2 linked regions of the Xenopus tropicalis genome follow. The protein of the gene in region 1 binds, or shares a complex with, the protein of each later gene. Links are inferred from orthologs where the notes say so. Each region holds a gene or a part of one and is shown on either strand. Other genes may lie near its edges.

Evidence for each region. The genes of interacting proteins can lie anywhere in the genome.
Region 2: the proteins of nelfe (region 1) and ncbp2 are in contact, whole or in part, in a crystal structure (PDB 5OOB), measured with the Homo sapiens proteins. The link is inferred for Xenopus tropicalis from reciprocal best matches to the Homo sapiens genes NELFE and NCBP2. Residues at the interface, in NP_002895.3 of Homo sapiens: Lys361, Arg362, Gln364, Ile365, Val366, Tyr367, Asp369, Tyr372; in NP_031388.2 of Homo sapiens: Phe49, Tyr50, Thr51, Thr52, Glu53, Gln55, Lys68, Ile69, Ile70, Met71, Leu73, Lys77, Lys78, Thr79, Ala80, Asp107, Glu121, Gln124.

What each region holds. Positions count from the first base shown.
Region 1 is NC_030684.2:74,059,949-74,063,702, reverse strand, and holds the start of nelfe (negative elongation factor E), read left to right. Parts: upstream 1-1,088; 5' UTR 1,089-1,124; intron 1,125-2,384; 5' UTR 2,385-2,407; coding exon 2,408-2,482; intron 2,483-3,754. UniProt on the Homo sapiens protein: Essential component of the NELF complex, a complex that negatively regulates the elongation of transcription by RNA polymerase II.
Region 2 is NC_030681.2:106,058,338-106,062,000, forward strand, and holds the start of ncbp2 (nuclear cap-binding protein subunit 2), read right to left. Parts: upstream 2,951-3,663; 5' UTR 2,917-2,950; coding exon 2,848-2,916; intron 1,619-2,847; coding exon 1,437-1,618; intron 1-1,436. Other genes in the region: protein NCBP2AS2, read left to right, coding at 3,320-3,646. UniProt on the Homo sapiens protein: Component of the cap-binding complex (CBC), which binds co-transcriptionally to the 5' cap of pre-mRNAs and is involved in various processes such as pre-mRNA splicing, translation regulation, nonsense-mediated mRNA decay, RNA-mediated gene silencing (RNAi) by microRNAs (miRNAs) and mRNA export.

The DNA.
Region 1 (3,754 bases):
AGAGTATTAAGTCCAACCTCAAACAGTATGGCAACCCCTTTTTCATGTATCCTGACCCATAAAATAAGAACCCCTGACTTTAACAATAGTGTAATTAACATGATATAAAAGTGATTGGCTCTGCTGAGGCACTTTCCAAATACTTCATGAGAACCACACAATTGAAAGGTCATAAATTAAAGGAGATGTACAACTGAAGTCTATGAAAAATTCTCTACCTAGGCAACATAGCAATTCCCACTAAATGAACAGAAAGTGCATTCTTAAAGTGCACCACAAATAAATATTATGAAAGTTAGTATAAATAACTTTTTTTTAATATCTGACAGTGCCACAGTAGGTGTCGAACTGGCCCCCAGGGATTCCAGTAAAACTCCTGGTGGGCCCAAAAAAAGAATAGATTATAGTACATAAAGATAAAAAAACACTAGGAAAATATAGAGGGTGAGAGAGAAGTGGGTGAAAAATAGTTTGAAGGTTTTTTTCTGGGCCCCTGGCATCCCACTCTGACACTGGCCACAATGGTTTTTTAGTTTCCCTTTAATGACCAGATTTGGTGTGTACCCGTTTATACACACGTGTGTGTGTGTGTGTGTGTATGTATGTATGTGTGTGTGTATGTATGTATGTATATATATATATACACACATACACACACACACACACTTTTTTCCCCTAAGTCAGGGCAGAATGGCAATCACATCCTCTGCCATTACCCTAATAGATGAAAATAAGAAAATTCGGCACGTTATATTTACAGCAAACAGAATAGTTGAGCTCTGCAATAGAAGGGCCACTCTGCAGAACCCGATGAGTGCCAAGCTGGCAGCTGTGCGGGGCACGCATATTCTAAAACGTAAACCACACTCGCTACAGATCCCTCACAAACCACGCCTATCCTCCTCCACTTCCATTCATTAGCTTGACACTTCACTCACAATTTCTCAAATTTGACTCTCCTACCCCACCTGTACTATATGGAGCACTGTCCTGTCCAGCACCTGTCACGTGACCGTAACGTCATGGCGAGTCTTGTTCCTGTCTCGGATATTACTGAGGGGCCGGGACTAGTGTTTCCATTTTTTTATGTGACGTAAAAAGAACGCGACCGACTTTACAGAGAGGTAAATAAACAGGTTGTTGTGTGTTTTTCGTTTCAAACATAGTAGAAATGTGTCTAATGAGTATTTTTTCAGTTCGAACCTGTTGGTATTTGGGAGCTTTGGAAACGTGAATGTTGAACAATGTAGGGCCAAGCCTTCCAAATGCGCACCGATCGGGGACTTCGTATTGCATTTGCCATTGCAACAAATTGGCGGGTCTGGTAGGGCTTCACGTTCTTGCAGTTGTCAGTCGGAACAACAAGGATAATGGAAGTTGTGTTACCTGAATATGGCATCTCCTGCCATGAAGTATGGGGAGGGGGGGGGGGCTACCTAATGTTGGCCAGACTTTTAAATGTTTTGTCATATATTAAGTGATTGTACCATTTTATGTCATTCCTACTGCATTTATCCGTCTGAAGAAAATATTCGTGCTAAAAAGATTTTATAGTTTTGTTGTGTCCATTAAAAGATAGAAATTGCCTGACAGCTGTGTTGCAGTAACTGCAAGCTGCTTTTTAATACCTCCCACCATGCAACCTACTTTCATCTCTCAGTCTCAACCATGGAGAGATTTTATCTATTCCCAACCAAGATCTTCTTTCCCATCTGATTGATTAGTAGGACAGTGTTGCTCGGATAGCCTCCTGGCTGGTAAAAAATGATGTTTGAAGCCAATGTTATTAATAAGAAAAAAAAGATAACAATATGGCAAGGCCAGAATGCTTTTTTTTCCCAGAGATGGTGGCAACCCTAGATTTTGCTGATTATTAAAGTGTATGATTGTTTCTAGTTACTGGATCATCCTAAAATCACTCACTACTTGTTTTTAAATTTTTCTGTGTGACTAGCTTAGGTTGGTAAAGGAAACATCACTTGTTATGCATAACACTTATTGTGAAGGTAAATTCAACTTTTGTTACAGTGTTGTATGTACAATAGACAGGCCTTTTACCTTAACACTTAATAAGTGTGTGTGGATATTTAGTACTAATTGTTCAATATTAATAATATTAAAAAAATAAATAAATATATATATATATATATATATATATATATATATATATATATATATATATATATAGTTTTAAACCTTGTTCAGCAATATGGATGTCATTGAATTATTATCTACATAGATGTGTCAGGCCACTGGAGAGATGTGGGTTGAATATGCTTGTGACAAGTAATGTATTTCATCATTGTTATATTAAGCTGAGATTTGGACATAAACTATGTTGTATATTATATGTAACATCTGTTTGTATCAATATTTATCTACAGAAGTACCCCTCTGTGCAAGCATCATGGTCCTGCTACCAACCAGCCTTACAGAAGAAGAGGAGGCTTTGCAGAGGAAGTTTGCAAAGCTGAAAAAGAAGGTAAAGACTCTATGGGGCACATTTACTAATCCACGAACGGCCGAAAAGCGTCCGAGTGCGTTTTTTTTGTAATGATCGGTATTTTGCGTTTTTTTCGTCGCCGTCCCAACTTTTTTGTGAATTGTCGCAAATTTTTCAAGCGCTCAATACGAAAAAGTAGAGGCAATTCACGAAAGTCGTAACGGCTACGAAAAAGTTGCGACAATTCGCGAAAGTCGTAACGGCTACGAAGAAGTCGCGACAATTCACGAAAAAGTCGTGATGGCGGCGAAAAAATCGCAAAAGATACGAAAAAGCCGCAAAATGTTCGTTTCCAATCCGATTTTTTCTCATTCGGGATTTGGATTCGTGGATTAGTAAATCAGCCCCTAACTGTTTAAAATAATAAGTTGTTGCACTACAGCAGGTCATTGTGTATGTGACCTTGCATTGTTGGATTAATAGTATTGTGTATAGTACTGTATGTATTGGTTAAATTACATTTAATGTTTAGGAAGACAAATTACATGATAAAAACACATATAAACACATAACTGCAAATTGTCTTAAAATACTAGTATCCTATTTTCATCATACCTGAAGTTAGTTTTCATGAGAACATCTCCTTTAAATAGAGGTTTGGAGGGCTAGGTCCATGTATATTAATGTATTTTGTGTAATAGTGGTGTGAAAAACTATTTGCCCCCTTCCTGATTTCTTATTCTTTTGCATGTTTGTCACACTTAAATGTTTCTGCTCATCAAAAACCGTTAACTATTAGTCAAAGATAACATAATTGAACACAAAATGCAGTTTTTAAATGAAGGTTTACATTATTAAGGGAGAAAAAAAAACTCCAAATCTACATGGCCCTGTGTGAAAAAGTGATTGCCCCCCTTGTTAAAAAATAACAACTGTGGTTTATCACACCTGAGTTAAATTTCTGTAGTCACCCCCAGGCCTGATTACTGCCACACCTGTTTCAATCAAGAAATCACTAAAATAGGAGCTACCTGACACAGAGAAGTAGGCCAAAAGCACCTCAAAAGCTAGACATCATGCCAAGATCCAAAGAAATTGAGGAACAAATGAGAACAAAAGTAGTTGAGATCTATCAGTCTGGTAAAGGTTATAAAGCCATTTCTAAAGCTTTGGGACTCCAGCGAACCACAGTGAGAGCCATTATCCACAAATGGCAAAAACATGGAACAGTGGTGAACCTTCCCAGGAGTGGCCGGCCGACCAAAATTACCCCAAGAGCGCAGAGACAACTCATCCGAGAGGCCACAAAAG
Region 2 (3,663 bases), on another chromosome or scaffold:
TTTTGTCACTTTGCCTTTTTTTCTTCCCAGAAGGCTATTCTCTGCAGATGAAGCAGTAAAAAAGGAGATCTTCTACAGCAGTGCTGTCCAACTTCTATTGTACCGAGGGCCGGAATTTTTCTGGCCTACATGGTACAGGGTCGATATTAGAAGCCAAGTTTTGACCACTCCCCTTTTTTAAACTGAACCCACTTCAAACCACACCCATGTTATCACAAGAGCTTTTAAGACCATGCCCACATTAATGGTGGTAGCACAGCAAAAACCCAAATGGTTGGTGTAGGTATATCACACTTCATTCATATGTGAAAGAATTATATTATATCAAGACATACCCTTAAATCTATATGGCTTCTACTCCCCTGTAGATAGCACAGCAAACCCCAGCACATAATTACACACCTTAGGGACCATATAATGACTATTTCCAACTGCTAACAAACTCCCAGAACAAGCCCCTGCCAGGTTCACCTCCCATATGGCAGGCAGAGTATGGCACACACAGGCAGAGTATGGCACACCCAGACACATACAGTGACACAATGCTCATACTGAGGTGTGAACAGGTGAACAATGTGTGCATTTACAGTTTGAGTGTGAACAATGCAGGGGTAAACAATGCAAACCCTAAAAGGGGTAAACAGTATAGGGGACTAAATGTTTAAACAATACAGGGGGATTACAGCCTGAACATGAGGTGTGAATGATGCAGTGAGCCAGTTAATCTCAGTACTGATAACATTCTTACAAAGGGAGGGGGGGCACTGGCTGCCAGTTAGACAGCCCTGTTCTACAGAAAGAAAAGTGTAAAAAATAACTGGTGGGGACTGGAAGGAAGTGCATTTAAGGGAAATTACTGTGGGGATCTGCTGGAGATTACCATTAAAGTCCAAGGGGTGTGTGTGCTAAAAGAGTGAACAGCGATTTCCCAGACACAGACTGCAATCCAGCCCATCGAAGACACTAGTTTAATAATGAGAATTTGGAAGTGAGATCTGCATTTAAAGCTATAAAACATAGCTTAGACATCCTGGAAGTTAAGGGCCCCAACATTGCTGGCTTTTAGGACTAAAGGGGAGCTCCCAAACACCCATACATCACATATTAGGTGTCTATTTACCTTGTAAAATTTAAATTCCTGTGTGAATTTAAACGATTTATATTGCATTTCACTACATTTTGTTATTGCCTTCTGTTTCTATTTTCTGCATTAACTACCAATTTATTTCCGCCCCGTCTTGTATAATAAATACAGGTTTACTTTTTACTTGTGTTGGTATACAGTGGGAAATCTTTGGGGTATCAACATAGTCGTATTGCTAGTATCCAAGCCACACCTAGGGGTGGGCTACATTTATATATACCCGGTCCTCCTCAAAAGTGGGCAAAAAAAAAAAAAAAAAGGATTGAAAAAAAAAAATATATAAAAAGGATACTCTACAAAACAGAATCCACAGGCTGTTTTCTTAATCTTATCGAGCCCCATAACAATTTTTTTAACATCGCCGCTCTTGCTGAACAGTTCATGGATTTGTTCCTCTGTTGTATAAAATGACAGGTTTCCTACATACAAGGTGCAACTGTGCTTTAGCAGACACTCCTGATCAGACCGGTTTCCCTGTAATATAAACAAATCAACATAATTAGTGATTATTTGGAAGACAAACTGCATCCTTATTTTCTTATTAAAAAAAAATAAACTTTCACAGTCTTTAGAGGCAGCCCTGCCACAATCATTAAAATCATCTAGTTCTCATACAATTAATTATTCAATGCATTTATCAACACAGATTGTTTTGTAATAATTGCCTGCTTAACCTGGGTTAACTTCTATAATGCAATAATGTCAGTTTAAGCCTGACTGCCACATCAAGTCACTCCATGCTGGCAGGTCATTCAAGCCAATGCTATTGCAGATACCTCAAAGCAGGTAAGTACATTAATACGTTCAGACAAACTACCTTCTGGTTCCTCTGGAAGTGTGTGACACATACCCAATTAGATGACAGAAACTAAAAGGTGCCCATACACTATAAGATCCGCTCGCTTGGCGATGTCGCCAAGCGAGCGGATCTTCACCCGATATCCCCACCTACAGGTGGGCGATATCGGGTAGCAAGTAGCTTTAAAAAAAAATAATCCGATTGTTTTGCCCTGGGGCCAAACGATCGGATTACAGTTGCGGCCATGGGGCAGTCGGTTCGGGGGCCACATCAACGAGCCGATGCGGCCCCCAATCCGACTGGATTTTCTAACCTGGCCGATCGATATCTGGTCAATTTCAGGCCAGATATCGGTCGGCCAGGCCCCTCGTTTCTGCCCCTACACGGGCAGATAAGCTGCCAAGTCGGTCCAAGGGACCAATATCGGCAGCTTCTATCGGCCCGTGTATGGGGACCTTAAGAGAGAAGCACACACCAGCATGGGAAAGCAGGAGCTCATAGGGTATATGAGAGATGCCCATAATGAGTTATTATGAACAGGCCGGACTGGCAATCTGTGGGTTCTGGCAAATACCAGAGGGGCTGGTGAGGGCTGTTTGGGTCTCTTTGAACTTAAAATGCCAGGGCCTATTTTGAATCCCAGTCCAGAACTGAGTGTGAGCCCCCAGTGTTACATGATACAGGATTAGAAACCGGCAATAGAGTTCTCAAGTAGGGATTATTGCAGTAGGGGAGAATGAAGCAACAGAACAACACACAGATCCCGCTGGTACTGTAGCTCGTATCCCGGCCAGTGAGACAAAGGAGGCTGGTTCTGAGCAGAATGCGTGCCCCCACTGCCTACAGCACTACTAACAGGCACAGCCCGCCCAACCCAAACAGGTAGGTGCCGCCGGCAGCTCACCCGGAAGTGCTGGTCCCGATACTGACTCAGCTCCACGTACGAGTCGCTCTTTAGGGCACCCAGAGCCATGTCGGTTCTTCCTTACAGAAGCTACAGTCTCCTCACTAATCTTCTCCAAGTGGCGCCCATTAAGCCGCACAAGGACCAATCACAGAGCAGCAGTGTAATATTGTATCCGGGTGAACCGGAAACTATAGTGAGGTCAGGCAGGTGACCGTGAGAATTGGGATTGGCGGAGAGCGGCGCACAAGTGCAGTCTATCGAGCAGTGAGTGAGTATGGAGCGAGTGTAGCCGATAGCCGGGACTGCTTTTTATACATGGTGGGGCGCAGCGATATAATTCATTTGCACCTCTGCCCAGTTTAGCATTTGTACGTTTTGCCGTAGGTGGCGGATCTTACAGAGCGGCAGTATGGCTCAATAGTGAATTAAGCGACATTGGTGTTTGTGAGAGCGAAACTGAATTAGCACAATGGTTCTGAGGAGACTGCTCTTTACTCTGCTCAATAACCCCCAACTGATAGAGAAACTCTCCGAGTCCCGGCCCATACGGAGAGCAGCGCAAATCACTGCCTTCGCTGTCACCAAGGCTCAGCTGAGCGGCAAGGACGCGGCCCAGAGAATCCTGCGCTCCGACACTGTGCGACAGATCCGACAGGAGACGAGCAGGGCTGGGCCCCCCCGGGACATGTGGGAGATGGGCCGCAAGGCGGAGCGCATTAAGGACACTTTCCTCAGGGAGTTCCGGACTGGGCTGCAGGATGCCAAGAAACAGATCAAAAGGGGAGAAGGGAAATAATGATAAACTGTAGCCGC